Linked DNA regions of Oryzias latipes. The protein of the gene in region 2 interacts with the protein of the main gene of each other region in a pairwise test. Links are inferred from orthologs where the notes say so. Each region holds a gene or a part of one and is shown on either strand. Other genes may lie near its edges.

What was found.
Region 1: the proteins of E3 ubiquitin-protein ligase XIAP (region 2) and rfc5 interact in binary tests that used the Homo sapiens proteins (3 or more experiments, as listed by UniProt). The link is inferred for Oryzias latipes from reciprocal best matches to the Homo sapiens genes XIAP and RFC5.
Region 3: the proteins of E3 ubiquitin-protein ligase XIAP (region 2) and ercc3 interact in binary tests that used the Homo sapiens proteins (3 or more experiments, as listed by UniProt). The two-hybrid records come from large-scale screens. The link is inferred for Oryzias latipes from reciprocal best matches to the Homo sapiens genes XIAP and ERCC3.

The regions. Positions count from the first base shown.
Region 1 is NC_019867.2:3,440,932-3,448,495, reverse strand, and holds rfc5 (replication factor C subunit 5), read right to left. Parts: upstream 4,996-7,564; 5' UTR 4,855-4,995; coding exon 4,808-4,854; intron 4,556-4,807; coding exon 4,491-4,555; intron 4,417-4,490; coding exon 4,280-4,416; intron 4,198-4,279; coding exon 4,118-4,197; intron 4,027-4,117; coding exon 3,953-4,026; intron 3,622-3,952; coding exon 3,462-3,621; intron 2,375-3,461; coding exon 2,293-2,374; intron 2,223-2,292; coding exon 2,093-2,222; intron 1,398-2,092; coding exon 1,127-1,397; intron 1,043-1,126; coding exon 943-1,042; 3' UTR 906-942; downstream 1-905. Other genes in the region: wsb2 (WD repeat and SOCS box-containing protein 2), read left to right, coding at 243-465; ksr2 (kinase suppressor of Ras 2), read left to right, coding at 6,347-6,520. UniProt on the Homo sapiens protein: Subunit of the replication factor C (RFC) complex which acts during elongation of primed DNA templates by DNA polymerases delta and epsilon, and is necessary for ATP-dependent loading of proliferating cell nuclear antigen (PCNA) onto primed DNA.
Region 2 is NC_019868.2:22,020,880-22,028,365, reverse strand, and holds the start of E3 ubiquitin-protein ligase XIAP, read right to left. Parts: upstream 4,265-7,486; 5' UTR 4,114-4,264; intron 2,528-4,113; 5' UTR 2,495-2,527; coding exon 2,252-2,494; intron 2,154-2,251; coding exon 1,583-2,153; intron 1,473-1,582; coding exon 1,373-1,472; intron 1,059-1,372; coding exon 980-1,058; intron 732-979; coding exon 692-731; intron 1-691. Other genes in the region: E3 ubiquitin-protein ligase XIAP, read right to left, coding at 6,238-6,252, 7,007-7,106, 7,190-7,289.
Region 3 is NC_019861.2:14,777,770-14,785,543, reverse strand, and holds the start of ercc3 (general transcription and DNA repair factor IIH helicase subunit XPB), read right to left. Parts: upstream 4,996-7,774; 5' UTR 4,827-4,995; coding exon 4,799-4,826; intron 4,483-4,798; coding exon 4,283-4,482; intron 4,182-4,282; coding exon 3,945-4,181; intron 3,867-3,944; coding exon 3,817-3,866; intron 3,735-3,816; coding exon 3,599-3,734; intron 3,397-3,598; coding exon 3,226-3,396; intron 3,098-3,225; coding exon 2,893-3,097; intron 2,485-2,892; coding exon 2,170-2,484; intron 1,985-2,169; coding exon 1,800-1,984; intron 598-1,799; coding exon 395-597; intron 299-394; coding exon 202-298; intron 1-201. Other genes in the region: gpalpp1 (GPALPP motifs-containing protein 1), read left to right, coding at 6,800-6,884, 6,995-7,118, 7,205-7,285. UniProt on the Homo sapiens protein: ATP-dependent 3'-5' DNA helicase/translocase. Binds dsDNA rather than ssDNA, unzipping it in a translocase rather than classical helicase activity. Component of the general transcription and DNA repair factor IIH (TFIIH) core complex.

The sequences.
Region 1 (7,564 bases), on a different chromosome or scaffold from region 2:
TTTTCAATGGAGTTCATGCAGCATTTTTCAGATTTTTGGCTAAAAACTGCATCATTCTAATTCAAAGACCGCTGGGAACGCTGTGAAAGTAGATCAAAAGATAATTGGAGCGGCTCTTTAAACAGACCTGCTTTTATATTTGTCCCTTCGGGGCTGAATGTCGAACTTGATCGCCCTCCACATCCTGTTGACCTTCCCCTCCGGCGATGACCTTAACTCCACGGCCGTCTCTCCTCACACAGAACCCGAGACGGCCACGTCCGGTTCTGGAGGGCGCCCGTGACCGTCCCCAGCCTGTGCCACCTGTGCCGGTCCGCTCTGCGCTTCTCCGTCTCCACGCAGCAGATCGAGGCGCTGCCCCTCCCCAAGAGGATCGTGGAATACCTCACCTATAAAAACATCCCCGAACGCCTCAGGAACTGCGCCTCCTCCTCTGATGACGAGGAGGAGGACTGGGAGTCTTGAGGAGGAGCGCGCCGCACTCTCATCTCAAAAGGCCTTTATTTTTGGTTTTGGTTTTCTGATGGAAAACTGCCGTATAAAGAAGGAAAATCCGCTCGTGTATTCTACTTTAAATAATCCTGCACTAAGAGTTTCATTTATTGCACTACTACTTTAAGAAGCATTTAGTAAATGTTCTGCTAATTTAGCTTGAATATCACAGTTTTCTATGTCTAATTTATTTTGTAAATATTTGTTTTAACCCTTTGGTGGTCGGAGCGCTTCTGCAGAACCTGCACACCTTAATACTGGATAACAGGAAGGAACAATAATAATTATTAAAATGATTCAATCTCCAAGTTGAAAGATGATGTTTTTCAGGAAGAACAATCTGGCTTTAACCGGCAAGTTGTGTTTATTTTAATGATTTTATGCACCAACAAAAGAAAGAAAAACCGAGGACATTTTTGGGGTCTTTGAAGTATTTAATTCTGCTGAACTTCATGAAGCCTCGCTGACCACCAGGTCCCGGACCTCCTGGAAAGCCCCCACCATGGAGCTCAGCTGGATCTTCTCGTCCGTTCCCGAAGCGAGTCTGTGTCTGAAAGTGAAAAAAGACGCGTCAGCACATTTGTAGCGTTCATGCGGGGGGGGGGGGAGGGGGAGGCGGCGCGGCGGCACTCACTCCACGTCGGCTAACTTCACCAGCAGAGTCATGCGGGTAGCAGGAGGAAAATCCACTTCAGCAGAGGAAGAGGAAAACGTTTCAGAGGAGATGCTTGCTTTAGGATGTAAAACTAAGACGTGAAACTGTGAGGAGGATAAAAAAAAAAAATCCTCCCTCCACGATGGTAATGGGAGTATTTCTGCTGGATTACCTCTGTGAACGAGCAGGTGCAGCTCGGTGAGGATGTCATGAAGAGCCAGACCCTTCAAAGTTTTCAGCTGGAGGATTTCTGGCATCAAAAAGGTTAAAGATTCACACAAAAAAAAGCATTTTAGAAACTTCTTCAGTCAATCCAAGTGAAACGTGACTGAAATGAGTTTTAAAAACTACGTTTCACTGAATCTTCATTATTTGTAAAATATTGTCAAAATGTTTTTTAGACTTCATTTCATGAGCATTTTAATTTGAAAAGCTGATTCTGCCGCGTTCGGATCGCTGTGAAAAAAAACTATACAGTGCTGCACTATGTAGTGCCCTGGATTTTAGACACCCTGCTCACTACTTTTCTTTTTTTAACGGCGGATATGACGTCATCGATTTCACAAAGTGAAAATCTAATTACTATGAGCGTTTTGCGACGAGTATTTACAAGTCTGCTGAAGATAAAAACGTTGATGGTTTATTTAAAAAATACTTTTTTTATGGCAAAAAATGTTCCGACGCAATGCATTGTGGTCTATCGATCTAGTGAGCATTGATGCACACTGGTTTTTCGCAGAGACTTCTGGGAAATTTCCAGGACACTGGATTTGGGAATTGTAGATTCGGACAGCTCTACAAAGGGGAAGGAATTCGGACACGACCATAGTCCGACGTTAAACGTTGGAGGCCAAAAAAGGTTTGGGATCACTGATCTAACGGATGAAAGTCTAGATTTCTAAAAGAGCGGTTCCAGCTCTGTATGTGGGTTTGATGGAAGGATACGTTTGTAAGCCGAGGTGAAGTCTTTGTTGAGGCACCAGTCGAGGATGTTAGCGATGTCCGAGCGGAGCGGCTGTCCCGTGCAGGTGTACACGGAGTCCTCCGTCACCTTCCCGTACGCCATGCTGGTGCTCTGAAAGGACACGAAAAGTCTTTCCTCTCTGCTGGAGAACATCCCGGCAGGAGGAGTGAGGAGGTCCCACCTGCAGGACGTTCAGCGACCTCCTCATGTCGCCGGACGATAAAGTCACGATGGCCTTCATCCCATCCTCGGTGATGTCGATGCTACCAGACAAGATTCAGCTCATTAAAGGCCAAAAGGAAGTTTAAAGAGGAAAATTATTATGATCAGCGCTATGCATTTAAAGCTTATTTTTACAGATAAATCCTGTACTAGACGTCTGCATCTCATGGACGGATCACAACATCTTATTGCCCTAAAACGCAGCAAAAACATGGCACTAGCTTGAGCGGGAGGCGCACAAACACAGTTTGGTAAAGTCTGAAGGATATTTGGACTTCTAGGTTTCAAAATTCTTTTAATTAACATTTGAAACTGACAGCAAGTGTCTCTATTGGTTTGTCTTAACGTAAACGATGACCTTTAAAGAAAAATGCGATGTGTTTTTCAAATACGGAGAATTAAAGAGAGAAACGGCAGTGAAAAGAGCTGCTAAGGGACCGTCTACAAAAAGAAAGCTCTGTGAAAAAGTGATCAGAAGATAATAAACTCTCAAAAACAACACAAATACATAAATGGTTCTGTTTATATAAGTTAAGTCATAAATACTCATCATATTCATGCCTTTTAAAAAAATGGGTATTTCTTTTTCCCAAAGTAAAAAAAAAAAAATCACATCTGATCCAAAAAGCTCTGAAGAGCCAAAGCTACAGTCACCAAACTTTCTCACATGACTAATTATCAACTATTTTTACCAGTTAATAGTTTGTTATTTTTTCTAGTTGATGGTTGCACTATTTGTACTTAATTGTTCACAGAGGTGCTCTTTTTCTGACAAAATAAAGGGGGAATAGAATAAAAACGGGAAAACCTGCATTTGTTTATTCAACTTTTAAAATGTGTTATAAAAGTATTGGAGCGAGACTCGGGTATCAGCATAAAAAAACGTGAAATCGGATCAAAAAAAGAAAAAAAGAAAACTGAGAGATTCTTAATGAAAAGCTTAAAAAGCGATGAATGCGAATGGCAGAAACGAGAATGTAAAGTTTTTCATTCCATTTATAGTCCTAATTTTTCAAAAATCCTTTGAAAGCATCTTTTCATGTCAACATCACAGTCGTTTTTAATGCTTCTGACAGACTCAGAAAGTGAGAGACTTCAGAGGCCGAAAGCGGTCCCGGTTTTCCTCACCTCTCCTCCTGAATGACGTGCCTCAGCCGGGGGATCATCTGGTCCGCCGACAGAGGCCCGAAGCGGAACCTGGTGCACCGGGACTGCAGGGCGGGGATGATCTTGGAAAGGTAGTTGCAGATGAGGCAGAACCGGGTGTTTTCTGTGAACTTCTCAATCACTGAGGCGTACGGGAGACAGCAGGAAGTTTACAAAAATAAAAAGACAGACTGTTACCTGCCAAAACGTTAGTTCAATGGGATAAAGTTACTTAAAATCGTCTTATTTTGAAAATCTGCAAACATCTTAATTCGTTTATGAGATCGTTGACGATAACCTACTTTCAACACCTATGAAAAAAAAAATTTTAATCAACAAAATCAATGCAAAGGATTATTTTAGAAAACGGTTGTGTTTTCATGCAGACCCATGCATCATCAGCCAAATGATTTGGCTGCCCAGTGAGCCGTGTCGCTCACAGCAAGCCATACTTAGGCGAACAGATGGCTCACCTCGCCGCAATGCATTCTGGGCATCCTGGGTCATGGCATCGGCCTCGTCCAGGATCACCAGCTTGAAGCCTTTCCTGGGGATCAAAGGGAGGAAAAAGGAGTTTGGAGTTGTCTGGAGGGAATCTCTGCAGAAGGTCACAGAGAGCTGGAGCGGTACCGACTCACTTGAAGATGGTTCTGGTGCTGGCAAAACTCAGGATGGGACCTCGGACCACATCGATACCCCTGTCGTCTGAAGCATTCAGCTTGAACAGAAGAGAATCAGAATCAGGACCCTTGGAGATGAGAAAATCCCTGCAGACTAAAGATCCTGAGTGGAGACGGTACCTCCAGCACCATGGAGTTGAACTCCTTGTCCTTGTACAGTTGCCGGGCACAGGCCAGAATGGTGGAGGTCTTTCCGGTTCCAGGAGGCCCGTAGAGCAGGAGGTGAGGAAGCCGGTCCTCTCTGACGAACCTCTGGACTGAAGAGACATGGAGACCTTCAGAACTCTGGACACCACAGAGTCGATTTGCTTCCTTAAATGAACAAACTTACTGGTGCTCAGGATGTCTCTGTGTGAAATTAAATCATCGAGTTTTTGTGGTCTATATTTTTCTACCCTGAAATGCAAAACAAACACTTTTAGCACAAAAACAAAGACGTTGTTTAGTAGAATATTTCTTTTTTTCCCTTCTTTTTAAGAAGTGTGTAGGCCTTTAAAAAGCTGAACAAACTTAAAAGAAAACAAAACAAAAAAAAAAAGCACAGCCTCTGACTGGAGACAAACAAGAACTTGAAGGAGCAGCTAGCTTAGTCTTAGACAACAACGACATTCTCGCCGCTTCTCAAACGTCTCGTTCGTCGCGGCTCACCATGGCAGGTTTCTGCTCTGTAACGGGGTCCTACTCGTAGACGCCATGACTCCCGGTAACTTTATTTATTAGCCGGGCAAGTAGAGGAAAAACCCCGTCTGTTCTATGTCGCTTCCTTTTGCCGCGCTCGCGACAGAAACGCACGCCAACGTCATGACGTAACACCAACAGAATGTCGTTTTGCTTTCCGGTGGGTGGGATCATGGTGATATGTTGAAGGTAAACTGTAAAAAAAACCACAATATCAATTGAAGAATTTTAATATTTTCTAAAGTAAAGCTTAAAATTGTTTTTTGTTTATTTTATAAACATTTTTGAGTTGATTATCTTGTAAAATAGAAATCTCTGTGTTAGTTTGATATTTATCCGTAGGCGAAAACATTTTTGACCGATTTTCTTGAACATTTCAGAACGAAAATTAATGTGCTGTGGAAATCAGACTAATTTTAAAGATTTGTATAAGACTTTAAAGCATTTAACAGGAAAAAAACAATATTTAATCCCCTGATGTACATACATTTCTATCTAACTTGTGCAATAAGTATTTCGTAAAATAGGTAAATTAAATTAATAGAAAAATACACAAGTTTCTTAATCTGTTTGGTTTTTAATACGTTTCATTTAGAATATACGCTTTAGACGTTAACTATTTAGCTACCTAACCAGGCGACAACCAAAAACAATAAATAAATAAGTAAAACATGCCCCCCCCCCCCCCATTATTTAATAACTTGGGTGAGTACACACAATAAATGTTTTAAAAAATGTTTTCAAATTTTGTTTAACCTTTTAGTTTAACAGGCACTTCGTTTGCATTTTAGTAAGATTGCTGAATTATGTTTAATTTGATGAAATATCACCCTGAAAAATAAAGATCATTTGTCGCAGATGATGCGTTTCTCGTCCAGCAGACGAGAACCCACTTGAGCGCGCCGTGATCACGCGAGAGCGGCCCCTTACGGCGGCGCTGCGATGCTGTTGCTGTGGCTTTGATTGACGGGAAACATGTCGGTGTGGTGGGAGCGAACCGGGATGCAGCTGCTGCCAAGGGAGACAGGGAGTACCTGCATCCAATCCGCACATCAGCACCTTTAAAACCGCCAGGTTCTACCCGATCCGGCTGTTTAGGATGCGCTGAGCAGCAAATTTGGTTCCTTTCCCCCCCTTTTTTTTCTCCCCCCCCCCCCCTTCCTCAGCATCCATTAGAACGGAAAGGACGCCCGATGGATGCTGTAGCAGACCGCTCAGCCCCGCTCCGCATCCTCACATTGAGTTTGGTCTAGTTTACATCCTTGATCATCCAGCTGGAGCTGCGAGGACTGTTGTTGCAATGGAGGCGACCCTCTCACGGCTCAAAGCCAGAGTCTAAGCCTGCAGCATCTCTTTCCACTGCGCTGTGCTGGTTGCTCTTTTCCGCGGGCTCCTCCACGTTTCTTTCTTGAATTATCCTCTTTTTTTAACCCTCTGTTCTTCTTCTTCTTTTTTTGTCTTGGAAATACAAACTAAGGGGAAAAAATACCATCCAGCGCGCGCTAAACTATGAACGAGGAGATGACAAAAAGCGAGGAGCAGCATCTCAGTTTGCAGAAAGCCTTGCAGCAGTGCGAGTTGGTGCAGAACATGATTGACATAAGCATTTCTAGTTTGGAGGGTTTACGGACCAAATGTGCCACATCCAACGACTTGACACAAAAAGAGATCCGAACGCTGGAGGTAAGCGGCTCCCTGACTCAATTACTGCTCTGCATCCTCAACTAAAGCATCACCCAGGGCTGTCAGTTTTTACAGGCCACTCTGCACGTTTATGCTGTTTTTTTTTTTCCCAGCAGCAAACTACCCTGGTGCTGTCATTGCATCCATATGCAGGGGCTCCAAGCTCCACAGCCTTTCATCCGTGCGCGCGGCTCTGTCTGTGCAGTGCAATAAATCTCGAGGCCACGGGGCTGCAGTGGGCTGCTGGAGACTTGCGCATTCTGCAGGTGGCGGGAAGAGAAGGTGGCTCTCCTCTTCATCAGATATATACGTGAGGCCTGCGCGTGCAGCCCCGTGTTTACAATCCGTTGCCGGTGTGCCATGCCAGCCTGCGCGCGCTCTGGGCTCATCCCAAACCCAGCCGCCGTTACGCAAGGCGACCAGATTATACCGACAAGGTTACAAAACATCCCTATCCTTTAATTGGCCCGTGGGGGTATTCTGTAAATTACGTTATGTAACGGTCACAATAACCCGGTGTTGCGTTTGAGATGGTCCACCTTTAACCGGCCAGCGGACCTGCTTCAGAGTCAGAGCGCCGCACGCAGGAAGAAAGGTCAGCGTGAGTGCTGCGGACGCAGAGCAGCCATAAACACCTGTGAGAATGTGACGACGCTGTCCCAAGAGATTAAAACAAACAGTATTAAGTGCAATAAGAGGCCCATAAAGCCATCTGAGGTTCTGCACGCCTTCAACACACTCTAACCCCCCCCCCCCCCCCCCCAGGGGGATTAACAGAACTGAAAAGCTACATTCGAGACCATAAAGTCACCTGAAAGAGAGAGAGTGCTGCACACATCAACATGCTGCTCTAATGCTTCATGTCTGAGCTCTTCATTGAGGAGACACTTAATCCATAAACATGGAGCACAAACATCAGGCTGGAAAGTGCAAAGCAAACAGGAACGTTGTGAGAATTATATTATGCACTTGCAAAGGTTATAATTTTTTAAAGATGAATGAAGATCAAACATAATGGTGGGGTTGTTACAAATCTAGCTTTCT
Region 2 (7,486 bases):
TTTCATTTTAAAAAGTAACATTCTTTAGACCATACGATACATCAATCAAAACAAAATCGTCTAACGTTTGAAACGATTTGACCACAGCAATTCAGCTGGAGGTCAGTAAACACAACCAGAATTCATACTTAAGGCACGCTGAGACTAGAAGAGATTATTATTGAACAAAATTCAACAATTGCAAGTGCGCCATAGGGTCAAAAATCTAGTTTCATTTTAGCTTGTTAGATTTTTACAAATTTCTGGCTGAGAGGTATAAACAACAATAAATTAAACAGTGTATAGTTGTTGTTTTTTAATCACTGCTGACATCCCAATTCCTACAACAACATTTGTTACATTAAGATGATCATATGTGGTACAGAGAGTCTTTTATCTTGAAAGGAAGTCATGTAAACCTCTGTTAAAAGTTCTCACTATTTCAAACAAATTTATCTTTATGACTGTTTTATTTCTGTGAAAAATCCACAACTTGATTTATATTTACAATAATAGTAACAATAACATGAATGCAAATCAGTGTCTTTTTATGGCTCCTACTGGGTTCCGGTAAGTGAAAAATTAACCTGATTGGCTCTACAAGTGCTGAAGGTTGCAGACCCCTGGCTTAGGTTCTCCTTCTCAAAAGGTTCAGCTAACTAATACCATAGTGTACATTTTTAGATTTAGATACATATCCAAGAATATTTACCTTTCTCCTCTTCAAAAAATCCATTTTGATGTTCTGAAGCCTGGAAACAAAAGGGTCACATCATCACTTTTTGTAAATCCTTTTGTCTGAACTCATGAGAAACGTCTAACAGCTTTTGTTTTAAACACACTCCCCCACCAACTCTTTAACAGAGAATAGGCTAGGCATAATACAAAATAAACCTTCTTTGTTTTATTTAAAAAAAAAAAAACAATTTCTACAAAAACTAGGGAAGTGAAGAAGCTTCAGAAACAGATTTCTTAAATGAGGGGAAATAATATGCCTTACCTGTTGTGAGTATTTAGGTTCTTGTAGCTGAATTGTATTAACAAACTCTTGGCCTTTTTCTGATAAAAGAAAGCTGCATCTAAAATGGAATTTAAAAAAAAGGATGTAAGATACATACATAAATACACTTACATCCCTTGTGCTATCCTAGGCACGTTAACGTTGGGAGTTGGGTCATCTAGACCCACTAGACAGTGAGCTGAACCTTTTTTCTTCAATGATTTGTGATCTTCACTGGTGTCTATGGATTACATGAAATCTTTCCACCTTTGTCCACCTTTGTCATGTAGGGAGAACACGTCAATGGCCATCTTGACCCCATAGGATAGCACAAGGGTTATACGAATACATAATCCTTCTTTTATGGGAAAAAGCAAAGCTGGAGGTTTTTACCCAGGATAATATTTGGCATGTTCTTCCCAAGGATTGTCCTCAGGGTCCCAATCTTTCAAACCACCACCACATCTGAAACAGATCACTTCGTCTCCTTCTCCTAGAATAATAATAAAAAAATATTATGAACAAACATTTAGATTTAGAAAAATTAAAATATTACCGGTACATCTCATTTGTAAAGGGGATGTTTGAACAAACATGCTTTACCTTTGCTGTAGAAGCCAGCTTTAGCAAGCAGCTCGTGGTCAATCGGGTGCTGGACGCGTGCAAAAGTGCCGAGTCGCTCGTCAAGATTTTCCAAATTGACAGGTGTGCGATGTTGGTTTCTGCTGCCAGTCTCTTCATTTTCTCCTCCATCTCTTTCCAGAGGCACATTTCCCACGTCATGACCAAGGATGTAGAAGCAGTGGGAAAAATGTTTTTCATGCTCGTTCCAGGGGGTGTCCCCAGGTTTCCAGCCACTTAGCTTGCCTCCACAACTGAAACACTCCACTTTATCCTCCTTTCCTAAGTAGAACAAACCTGCCTGAGCCAAATCTCGAGGTCTGACTGGAGCAGAACGCGGCCACGAAGAGAAAGTTTCCAGGCGGGCTTCTTCGCTTTTCATATTCCGGTTCCGTGGATATGGAGTCTCATCAACAATGGCTCTTGTTCTCAACTGGTAATCTATATATCCTTCAGTTCCATCATGAAGGCCCCCATTGCTGAGGGGCATATGGGGATTTGACTTAAAACGGTTGAAGTGTGTGCAGCGGAGAAACGTGCACGATGGGGAAACCTGCATGGAAGGAAAATGTTGAACTTTATTATTTAAAAAGTTGAAAAAGAATTGCCCAACATTTCTAAACTATTTTTTTTTTCAACATAAACAATTACCTGTATGTGTCTGTCCACTGGTTGATCTTCCTGGGACCAGTTTTCTACCGTTTTCTGGCAACTGAAGCAGCGTACGCGGTCAGAGACTCCAGTGAAGAGGAAGCCAGCTTCAGCCAGTTGCAGCGGTGACACCTTCTTGCTCCAGCTGGAGTTGTAGAAAGATTCCAGACGATTGTTTATCTTAGAGTAATCAATTGTGGAGTCCGATTCCCAATTCCCATCTTGGCTGGGGTCACACATCATTGAAACAAGTAGCTGTGGCGGTAAACACAAAATCTAAAAGAAAAGAAACATGAAAAAGGTTTGAGTTAGAAGTGTAGAACCTTGAATAATAGATCATGGGGGAATCTCTTTTTTTTTACTTAAAGACCTACTCCGATCATCTTTTGAGCCATTTTTAAAGTGTTCCCAGGGGTCTTCTAATTACCACTATGCCATTTTTGTCCAAAAAAGTGCCCAGATTTTTCTGCAGAGCAGCAGTAGATCATTAGAAATTCGCCTCTGAGTTGTTGGCTGGACTGTTGGCATGGAGCAACGCCGCTTCTCTCCATGTTGCCGAGGGCTCTCTGTTGCCATGTTCTCCTGCTAGCTTCAGTCCTCCTCAGTCATTCAGATTTGTCAAAAATATAAAGTATTCTGGAAGTTAACCAGCTTCCCTATCTTTATGTCCACCTTTGACATCACATCGTGCTAATAAACATTGCATCAGCACGCCTGTGTTTCATGCAATTCTTATTCATGACACATACTAAAGGTGTGATGACTTTTATTCAAGCCTAGTCACCTCCCAGAGGAAATTATTTGTCAAAAACAGAAAGTAGAAGTCAAATATCTTTCAGTTGGACATTTTTTGAGAGTGTGTGTAGATAGAATGGTATGGAATGTCCATTCCATTCATAGTCATAATCTGTCCACATAGCTAGGCTCTTTAAAGTTCTTTTAAGCCGGTAACTCAGGAAACCAGATGGATATCAGTTGAAAAAATGAATGTTTTAGTGAAGGCACAAGGGATGGGCACGAGGGCGGCTCCTGTAGTTAACTTATATGCCAAAGGGTGTAGCAGATGTACTGTTCACCATTCTTAAAGAGCTAATCAGATCATTGATTCATCAAAACACAATGTTGGAACACTGTTAATAGGTTTCAGCGATCTGCCACATATGTTTGTTAGATTATCCAGAAATGTACTAGCAGCACAGTCAAAAACAATCACTGTTTTCTACAGGAGGTTGAGACTCTTGTGTGATATTGTTGCCACACATTAGGACAGTCATATGCTGCATTACTCCTTCTGACAAACACGCTGTACGTGGAACTATTTGGTGCACATTTAGCTGTGACATGGGATTTTATCTGCTGGTGGTGGAGGACTGCATGTGATCTTTGCACTGTCACGTTTTTCTGCCTCAGTGATCAAGTGATCAAATCAAAAGCTAACGGCCATATTTACTACAGTAAATATGCTGTCGCAAAGACAGTTTTGCTGTCTTTGCGACAGCAAAACTGAAATTAACATCTCTAACCGCCCAGTGAGCGACAAATGCGTATGCCGTCATTGTTGTGTTTCTACGAACTATCAACTGCATACTTTGCTCTGTTCACAAAGATTCCACCCACATCATTTAAAGGGCTACACATCACGGATTAAAAATTAATATAAAAGAAAAAAGACAACTGCTGGTGTTTTACAGTGGATAAAGGAATCTTACATAAGGAGTCAAATTATTATTTAAAAGTGCGTACCTTTGCTGTAACTATAGTTTGTTTACATTTCATGTAACATTTGACTAGCTAGCTAGTTAGCCTTGTTCGCTAAGCGCGCGATTACTTTACCAGCGGCTCTAAAAACATAAAATACTTGCATTTCTTTGCTCGTGTAGGGAGGTCTTCGGTTCGTGGTTTGAAAAGGTCCTTGATGAGATCGCCCTGTGAAGGAAATCGGCGTAGAAGAATTCCTTTGGCGTGACCTCCCAAAGTCAGGAAGTAAGAACAGCGTAGTCTTTGACAATGCGCATGCGCATCGTCGATTACGCAAAGAAAGTGGGGGTTCAATGAGAAGATTCCAGAGGTTCTGTTTCAGTTTCGTTATGGAAAAAAATATAAAACATTGTCACTTAAACAGAAAAATTTCAACATGCTTAACAGCTCAAGCCCGAAGATGTTATTGCTAAAGAAAGATATGTTTTTGTAACTTATGCAGTATGTGTTGAAACGTAGATTTGAAAAAAAAAAGAGAGAGAAAAAAAACCACGCAGTCCCGAAAAGCGACTTTTAAGCAAATCTCTAGGTTTTTTTTTTCTTCCCAGGGGGGGTTTCCCTTACAAATATGCTGTTTAAAATCAGTAAAATACACTGTCGACAAAAGAAACTAAATGAGTAAAAAACATTTATAAATGTGTCCCTTATGTCTCAAAGCAAATGCGACATTTATATGATTAATTTATTCAAATTTAGCTTTTTTTCTGTTTTTCAACGTTTGGAGCAAGAATACAAAATGCCACATATTTTGAAGTGGGTTTTAGTCTATGCTTTTATTATGAAGGATGCAGTTTTCTTTAAGATCACACTTTAACTTCTGAAAAGTTGGTGGGACAGTGGTTCAAATTTCAGTGTGTTCTGAGTCATTTTAAGTTCAGCCGGCTGTGAGGCTGCCCTGTCAGACACGCAGCATCCAAACTATACAACTTTAGATATATTTACATTTGGTCACATGAAATAAAAAATAAAACATTTTAAACAGCTTCCAAAACATAACCAATGTGGAATAGGGGAATAGTATTAGGCAGAAGTCATAAATAGGGTTTTAATAAACATCCATTTGTTCAAACAAATCTTCAGTGACATTTCTTTGGTTAAAAAAAATACAGAAAAGTACAGGTAAACCACTAGAAAAAAAGTTGAAGCCACCAAACACAATTTGATGAATTCACTTCAAGAAGCAGTGAAAAAGGGAAAGTACGAAGTTTCTGTGCAGTTTGGTAAGAAACCCCCATGCTGAGTGAGACTTGCTGTTTAGGTGACAAGGCAAGCATCCAACTTCCCCTTATTTGATGTGGGTTAATGGGGAATTACATGGTATAAATTAAACACTCTTTTCACACCCCCGCAAGTTTCTCACCCAAGCTTGGGTCCTCTACTAGAGGCCTGGGAGCTTGAGGGTTCTGTGCAGTATCTTTCCTAGGACTGAACCTTTCTGGACTGAGATGTTTCTCCAGGGATCTGCTTTAGCCACTCTTCTGGTCATTTCTAACATTACAGCCACTCCTCCACCTTAGGGGTTACTGTCCTGAGTGATCGGATAACCACAGGCACCACCGTCAAATTAACCTTAAAGCTTTCTCCAGTTCTTCCAGACTTTCCTCTTTTCTTTGTCCACCTCTACAGTGTCTGGTTGGTTCTCCATGACCATCTTGTCAGTTTGGATCTGGGAGTCCCACAGGATCTTAGCTCTCTCATTCTCTGCCACTTTTAGAGGTGCTTTCCCATTTGTGACCTTGGGGTTTCCACTCCAAATTCTGCACAGATGTACCTGTAGGCTCCAGTCATTTGGTTGCGATATCAGTAGAACATCCCATGGTCCTCCCAAGATAAAATGTATCGCATCCTCTGCTTTCCATTGCTTGGGGCATTCACAGGACACACTGTCGGTTGGAGCCTTGTGCTTCTATTCGTGGATCTTGGATGTTTCATCCTGGATAGTAACTCTAACGCTCAATAGGCCTCAGCCGGCTTCACCTCCTGGCCTCTTTCCCCATTTCTTTATCCAACACAAAAATCAAGACAACCATGGACAACCTTTCTTTTCATCATATTTTATTTTGATCTGACAAAAACAAAAACGGTCACACAATTGGAAAATTTTTATTTTCTTTTATTATTTAAAAAAAAAGGGGGTTCTAAAGGAAAAAAGATGTGATTGAGTGCCCTCCATTCTTGTCATGAAATCCAAAATGCCCAGTTCTAGAGTGGTTTGCTCCATTTTTCTATCACAATGAGGCAACCTACAGAGATGAACACATCAACCACATGTCAGTTATGAATTCAAATATTTCCCTTTCACACACCTAACCTGTCTGAGTGGGATACCATACATTTCTCGTAAAAACAAAATGCGGAACGTGTAGGCGAAACCAAACAGTGAAACTAAAATTACTGAATGAAACGGCTGGCATGTAGTATGCCATCTCCCAACACCCCATGTAAATGCAAAAAAAAAAAAAACTTTCACTTCTTTTTTTTTTTTTTACAGTATTTGGGTTTGTACTGTAAATCAGAATTCTAGATGATGGTTAAAATCCTCAAGCCCTTTAAATAGCATTTTGAGAAATCTAAGGAGGAATCATGAATCACAACTCTCTGATGACAATAAGATTTGAAAGTAAACTTTACAAAACTAAGCTTAGCATTGACCAACAAATGGAAAAGAGACAAATTCAGCAGGTTAACGACTTTTGTCTTTAACAAACTTGCTGTAGTGCTGCAGATTAGATTTAATTTTAATTCTTTAGGCAGCCATCCATGTATACACTTAAACTGGTTAAGACATAAATTATAAGTAAATAAAAATATTATAAAAGTAAAATAATATTTTCATTTGTTGCTTCGTTGTGTTTCTGTTGATCTGACTTAAATATAAAAAGAAAGTCTAGAGTCTTTTTTCTGCAGTAAAATATTTTAAAAGTCATAGACCTCTTTTTGTGTGCGATGGAGCAGAATATATGATTCTTTACAAAAAGTGAAAAGAATATCACTTACATTACGAATAATAGCAGCACTATTTTTTTGCCGTTTGTGCCTATGTAGCTGGATGTTGTTGATGAATGCTTGACCTTTTGTAGTCGCCAGGAACTTGCACCTAAAAAACAGTTAAGTATTGAATGTAAATTAAAGGAAAATAAGGTATAAAAACAGATAAATGAATATGATGGTTCTTTTTACCCTGGGTAGTGTTTGGCATGTTGTTGGAAAGGGTCAAGCTGTCGTTTCCAGTTTTCCAAACCGCCACCACAAGAGAAACACAACACCTCCTCTCCTTTTCCTGTACGAGTACATTTGAAAAACAATTAAAGACCCAATCCAATCATTTTTGATCCATTTCAAAAGCGTTCCTAGTGGTCTTTAAGTCATGATAATGCCATTTTTTAACCAAAATGAAAAAAAAAACTATTTCCAAGGAAATAGTTTCTACAAAGCAGCAGTAACTTATTGGAAATTTGCCTCAGTTGCAGACGGGGC
Region 3 (7,774 bases), on a different chromosome or scaffold from region 2:
GGTGACAAAATGGTAATTCAGGACTATGTGCTTTCAGCACGGGATCAGATCCCAGGTTACGTTGACAATTGGAAGATGTTTTGTTGTTTTCATTTCAATTAGATCCTCTCAACGCTTGTTCACGGAGAGCAGGCTCCAAAGTTTGGCAATGCAAAGACAAAAGTTAAACTTGGTGCAACACAGTTGAAGGATCTGATTTACCTTGGAAATAAAAATGGTGTTGATCTTGGGGTTGTGCTTGAAATTTTGTAAAATCTGCATTCGCTCCCCCTGAGAGGTAGGACCATAGATGTAGGGCCTTGAGAGAAATATTGAAAAAAATAAAAAAGAACACATAAAAAAAGTATTTTCCACAAAGACAAAATGCTGATTTAGTCAAAGTGTGAAAACTCACTTGTTGAGACGTACGGCGTATTCCTTCAGGGCAAACACGTTGTCAGCAAACACGATAATTTTGTCGTTGCGCCGCTCGTGGAAGCGAATGAGAAACTGGCAAGCACGGAATTTGTTGGGGTTCATCGTGTAAAGCAGAATCCGCTTCTTCGTCTTAATGGCCACATATTCTCGGTAAAACTCAGGAGACATCGGGCACCACACCTGAAGCAAAGACAGTTCAGTCACTCAGACTGCCTGAACTGACAGTGTGATCCAAGAAGAAATGCTTTTCTTTTATTAACAGAGACCACAAATAACCGTAAAAAATATAACCAAATGAATAATTTGATCTATTGTTTAAGAAAGGAATACAGGTGAAGACAATCTAAAAAAAACATTAACAGTAAAGGAGCAAATAATCCCAGTCAAACACAATAAAAAACAAATGTATTATGCAGATTTGGTAGGAACACTGACATCCTTGTGATGTAAGAGGAGATTGGAAATTTGAACAATAATTAGAGGCAGATCCTTCCTCCTTCCGTTTCTGTTGTACCTCACAGAAATAGCTCTTAATGATCTTTGAGACGTTAACCAGCATTAATTAAGTTCTAAAGAAACCTCGTTAAAGAATTAATGGACAAATGTTTTAAGACAACAGTTACGGCACTGTTTAGCACAATGATAAAGAAGTTTTTATATGTTCCATCTTTGTGTTAGAAGAAGCAAGTAAAGTAAGTGAATTCTTACTCATTTCTATATAGTAGCAAGTTCATACAAAAATAGGCTATAAAGAAGCTTAAACTGCAGCTTGCATATTTGTGGAGACTTTCCTTCATCCATGACAAAGTCTTTCGGATAAAAGGCAAAACATCTTCAACTTAAAAAAACAAACCAAGTCCAGAAGACTTTTTAAAACTTTTTCTGATCTGTAGCTATAAATTGAAATATTTTAAAATGTATTTATTTCTTTATTTAATTTTAAACATTACATTTAATTTGAATATAATATAAATAGAGTGGCTTTTCATTGAAATATTTTAAATAATTTTTTATAATTAATTATTCAGACAAGCTTTTAGGTAGCATTAAAAAAAATTGTGAAAAGACACGTTTAAAAAATGAATGTTGATTTAAAAGATATGTAAATAAAAAAGGAAAATGTTTTAAAAGAAATTTAGAAAGCAAAAAAAAAAGTAACTGAATAATTTATTTATATTTCTTATTTTGATGTAATTTACTGATTAAAACATATCCAATTGATCTGTTTAGTTTTTTTATCAAATGACATTCAGTACAGCTTTGACTAAAAAAAAACAAAAAAACTCAATATTTATCAGGTTAAAAAGTCAAGAAAAGGCAAATGACCAAAGCTGATATAATCATGAAATATGTTGTGGCCTTAACTGTAGTGGAGTTCTCACCTCTGCACACTGGACTTTGGCTATGTATCCGTTGTTCTGTAGTTCCATCCAGTTCGCCTCATAGAGCTTCGGGCCTATCAAGAAGTTCAGATCCACAATCTTGTCATCTTCTCTGACCAGTGTGGCAGTGAGGCCCAGTTTGCAATGAGCTTGGACGATGGTGAGAACCCGACGAAACATTCTTGCTACAGAGAAATGAGAGTAGTTATGCAAAGATCAATTCTTTCACAAAAACATTTGCCCCGATCCTTTCTGTTCCTCTCTCTGCATCTGAAACTGTTATAAATTGTCCTTTTGGAACATACATATGCAGCTTTAGAGTGCATGTTAAATAAAACTATGCTCTAAACTACAAAGCTGAAGAACTCACCAGGAATGGTGTGCACCTCATCCAGAATAATGAGTCCCCACTCCTGGCTCCGCATCCACTCCATGACCCTTTCAGCTTCCCAGGATCGCTTGGTGGTGTGACCCAGCATGGAGTAGGTGCTGATAGCCACTGAGCAGCCGATAGGCTTGTCCTTGGCGTCGGAAGTGAAGCGGCAGATTAACGACTCGTCGATGGTGGACCACATCTTGAACTGAGCTTTCCACTGCTCCACGGACACGGAAGAGTTTCCCAACACCAGGCAGCGTTTTCGCACCGTGCACGCTGCCGTGACGCCCACCAGAGATTTCCCCGCACCTGTGGGTCAGAAGTAGACATACTGATAGAAACTAAGTCCAATACTGAGATTTTTATTTTTTTTGCAACAATCTATTGAAAAGGTTTTGCATTTGCAATAGTACAATGGCAATACCACAAAGAAAAAACACATAAATAAATGATCCTGCCTGAATTCCTTATTAACAGAAAACTAGAGGATCAACATAACAAGTAGAATCCAAATGTTTCGATTGTAAAGCTAGTTATACTTTTATGACTTAGTTCGATGGGTAAAAATAAAAAGCAGGACTTTTTAAAAAAACGAACTCCAAGCTATTGATATTAAACTAAAAATCTGTCTCTCCAAATCCTTTAATTAAACGAATTAAATGCCTAAATGCCTTTTTAGTCATCCTCGGTTCTCTTAAAATCTCCATGGCAGCTTACCGCAGGGCAGCACGATGACTCCAGATCGTGCACGTCCATTCCCGAACATTTTGCGCAGACTCTTCTCCTGGTAGGGCCGCAACACAGCAGTGGGCTTCAGGTCTATGGCAATGTCCGGGTTAACCGTGTCATTGCGAAAGTCGTACTCGGCTAAGAGAGGGTACTCCAGCTGAATGCAACGTTTTTGTAGCTCTTCAATCATCTCCTACAGCAAATCAGATTTAAAAAAAAGAGAGAGAAAAACTTGGCGATTTCTTCTTGATAATGTTAAATTTGAAGTAAAGTGCCAAAAAGAAAACTGTGGTTATATTTAGACACCAATCCCAAGCATACTTGGCGAATTTCAAAGGAGACTGTCTGAGTCTCTTCCTCCTCTTCTTCATCTTTATCCATTTGCTCATAGTATTTGAAGATGTCCTCAGGAACCTGTTGGGTGGACGTTTGCCCATCATCAGGCTGCTGTGAAGTGGAAGCACTTCCTCTTTCTTCAACCGATTTCGTGATCTGTCAAAAACAAAAAGAAATGCATCTTTCCACAGAATCTTTTGTGACACACAGAAAGCACATCCGTCTGTGCATTAGACACCTTAGCTAAACATATTTTCACTTTTTTTATTTACAAATTAAAGAATTTTAAAGTACCTTCAAATATGAGCATTGCATGTAAAAAATGTCATTAAATGCAAAGAAATCCTGCTTAGCGTACCGCTGGCTTGCTGTGGATGACCTCAGTAATGAGCTCAGAGTCTGCTCCGCCGGCAGTGCGAAGACGACAGTCACGGATAACGCTGTCCTGCAGGAGGCGCTGGATCACATCAGGGAAGGCACTTTCCACAAAATACCTGAAAGAAGACAAAACCCGTAAAGGGTGCTAAAAAGACGCTTGGTGATAAAATAACTAACGCACCATCCAAATAAACTGACCTGTTGTGCTTGAGCACCAGCTTGACTTTGCCATAGCTCACAGTACAGAGCTGATCAAAAACAAACAGAGATAAATAATAATATTCAATCGCCATAAAAACCTTTTCCATCAGATTTTGCTGTCAAACCTTTATAAACTGTACAATTCCATCTGGTACAGATGTTTTGCTGAGCTTCTGCAGATACTCCACAATATCAGAGGTTTGCAGTCCCACACTGACAGCTGCATATAGAGAATATGCAGTCAGCTTGTACTCATGGATGTGGTTAGGTCTGCACACAGGCTCTGCAATGGCCACCAGGAAATCCTGGGCATATTTATACACTGGTGAGAAGGCTTCCAAAAAGATGTGCCCATCTGGAGCCTAGAAGAGGTAATAAAAAAATTAAACAATAATAATACTTTGCAGTTGCGCAGAAGCTGGAAGCCTGAAATGAGTCCAAGAGCCCATCAAGCACAGCTTACCACCCAGAGCGGCCGTGAAGAGTGGTCATTCTTCAGCAGCATCTGAACACGGTAGTCTTTGGCCCCATACTCATCCAGCTTTGTACCGGACTCATCCACCTGTTTTCCTGCAGCAGCGGGTACGGCTTCCTGGGACTCGTTACCGGCTACCTCTTCATCCTCCTCTTCCTCTTCATAGTAACGTTTTTTGGACTTCTTTTCTACAGCCCAGCAGGTCAAGAAATGAGACAGTATTCTCACACAACTGCTTTCTAGATAGACATCACTGATGTGATGTTTATTTAGTTATTTATTTTAAGACGACTTATTTACATCAGATCTGACCTGATCAAAGTAATAACAGTGAGTCAAAAACAAACCTGCCCTTCTGTCCTCGCAGCAGAATTATCTTACTATCATTTGCTTAAAACTAAATCGAGAAGCTTATGTATTATGACAATATAAAAAATAAGACAAAATATTAAAAATGAGTGAGTGATGAGAATGAGATTGTTGTTGTGTAACGACGTCACTTACCCCGCTCTCCTCTGTCCTTTCTACCCATTATGAAATGTCTGTTATAAAATATGTCTAATACATTATACAGAATTAAATTATTCTACGGAAAATTTGCAAAAGAGCACTAACAAGTGCGTCAATTTCAAGAAATTTAGCCAAAATGGTGAAAATCCAGATGAAGAAAGCTTCCGGTCCTCATTTTTTCTTCTTTATTGAAGAAACCTAAGCAGCGCGTTACTGCCCCCTTCTGCCGTGGAGTGGAACCTCACAATGAGATGCAGAGCTTATTTTTAGCTTTCCAGTTGTAACCTGTAGGAGTCTCCACAGCAAAAGCCTCTGCCTAACCACGTCCTATGTATTCTCCACCACTATATAACACCCTCATGTCCTCCTTGACTACATCCTGGCAGTTCTCACTCAACGTCCTTTTATCAATGTTTAAACCATCTAGCCCTATGGAGTCCTATACTGTTCATAATTCAATAAATAAATATAGCCTACCCCCAGAACATTTAACAGGCGCTGTCCCAGAGCAGAATCAAGTAAGTGTCTGATAAAGTGGGTAATTTATAAAAATCCAAGCTCGGGTCCTCTACCAGAGGCCTGGGAGCTTGAGGGTCCTGCGCAGTTTCTTAGCTGTTCCTAGCACTGCGCTTTTCTGGACTAAGTGCATAACAGGGTGTATAATGTACTAGACTGTGGACTGTGAGCACTAAAATTGTACCTATTTTCCCTTTGCACCATTGGTAGATCTTGGAATTCAAACATTTCATCTTTCCCTCCTGATCTATTTTTATTTCTTTTGTGCCTGAATTGTATTCTTTATTTGACAACAAACTTGATTATATCAAAGTTAACATTGAAGATTCAACCTCAGTCACTACATTTCAATTTCTTCTGCCTTTAGAGGCGGCATGTGGTGCATTGTTGGGGAGGTTGACCTCTGATTGGAGTATTGCAGGTTTGATTCCTGCCTTGCCCACCCATGTTTAAGTGTCCTTGGGCAAGACACTGATCCTCACGTTTCTCCTGGAGGGACAGGCTAGCACCATGCATGGCAGCAGAGCCACCATCAGTGTGTGAATGTGTGTGTGCATGGGTGAATGTGACTTTGACTCAAGATCCCTTTAGACCAAATTCAAGGTAGAAAAGCGCTTTATAAGTATTTACCATTAGCCACAGTGTTTTCATGGAGTGTTTTTAATCTGAAAGTTTATGGAAAAATCTAGTGTATATAATTAACTGCAAAACTTTAAAATTTCTTTCTTGCTTTTATCTTAACACATTAGTTTATGTAGTATTTTCAGCTGCACAACCAAATTTTCTGGATTCTGTAATATTAGTATGAAATCTCAGGTTGATCCCAAGGTCTACCTCAGTGATTGTATTTTGCTCAATACCAGTTTGTACAAGTATGACAACCTTTACTTCTATATTTTCACTAATTACAATACATTTTTACTACAATATGAATATATGAACTACATGACTATATAAGGCTTGATAAATGAGAAAAAAATACAGCAGCTAATTAGTACAAAACCATTAGTACAAAGTTTTTTTCCCCAAAAAACTTTATTAACAATTGAGTCATCATACAGAGATCAACAGTAACTATATAAACAACGTCACCACAAATAACAATCATAACCTAACATAACATATATATATGTAGAACATAAAATAAAAGAATGAACATGATACACAGACGCACATGCGCACACACAAATACACAAACACACAAAAAAGAACATGAACCATCCAAATAGTTTAATACTTGTTAGGGGTTCTCATTAAGTTTATATTTCTGAAAACATTAGTCCAAAGTAATACGACATTAATAAACCCATGCTTTTATTCTGAAAGCACTTTTCCGCCTTTGACCAAACAAATGTATTTACTTCCTGTGTAAAAGGTCAAAAAAGCTTTTTATGGACGATCTTCGTTTTGTGGTTTGTGAAGTGTTTTATGTCGTTTAACAAAATCTGATGAAAACAGTGAATTAATTCAAAGTCCAAAATGTCGTCGGAAGACTTAATTGGACCTGCTTTGCCTCCAATGTTTCTAAAGGAGAGCTCCGAGGACGAGCTTAATGAAAATGACTGTAAGTTAAGGAATCAACATCCAAGTATAATTTTTGTTGCTACGTCAGCAGTTCATGTTAACTCTTGTAGAAGTATTTTTGCTTTAGTTTGATATCTATCTTTTCTGCAGTTGCTGGGCCGGCATTGCCTCCCGGATACAAACGGGAAGAGGCGTCGAGCTCTTCGGATGAAAGTGAGCCGGAGATCGCCAGGAAAAGAGCAAAGACGGGGCACAGCGCTGGAGACCGGCCTGAGTGGGTTCACTAAAGTGTTTCAGGTTCGAATCCCAATACATTGTCTCTATAGCCAAATAACGACATTGGATTCGGTCTCTGTGCAGACAGAGCAGTAATGAAGATGACGGTTTCTTTGGGCCAGCTCTGCCTCCAGGATTTAAGAAACAAGAGAGTTCTCCTGAAAGGTGAGCAGATGCCCTAAGAAATGTTTTTAATGGACTATAAAAGTAAAAAAAAAAAAAAAAAAAAGAAACTATCGTTTGAACTGTTTTAATTGTGATTGTGCATTTTTCTGGTTAGGATGGAGGCAGGAAACTCACTGATCATCAACTGTTAATTAACCTGTTTTATTGTAGACTCTTTTGTCATAGTATGACATTTGCCTCTATAAAACCCTGGTTCAAAAAGACTTAAAGATTTATTCAGAAACGGCAAAGTATAGAGAAAATACAGCAGCAAAACAAGCCTAAAGTTAGACCTAAAGTTAGATTTGAGGTGTTCCTGCAGAAGTGCGGCTTTAACTCTCGCCAATGTGGAGGTCTAGATTAAGTCGGCAGTCGTTATAGATTTTGTTCCTCGATCCTCAGTCTTGCTCTGATGATTTTTTCACACAGAAATGGCTTTTTTGTCCTCCAGCTTTTCTAAGCCAACTGCTATTTTTTTCCCAGTTATTC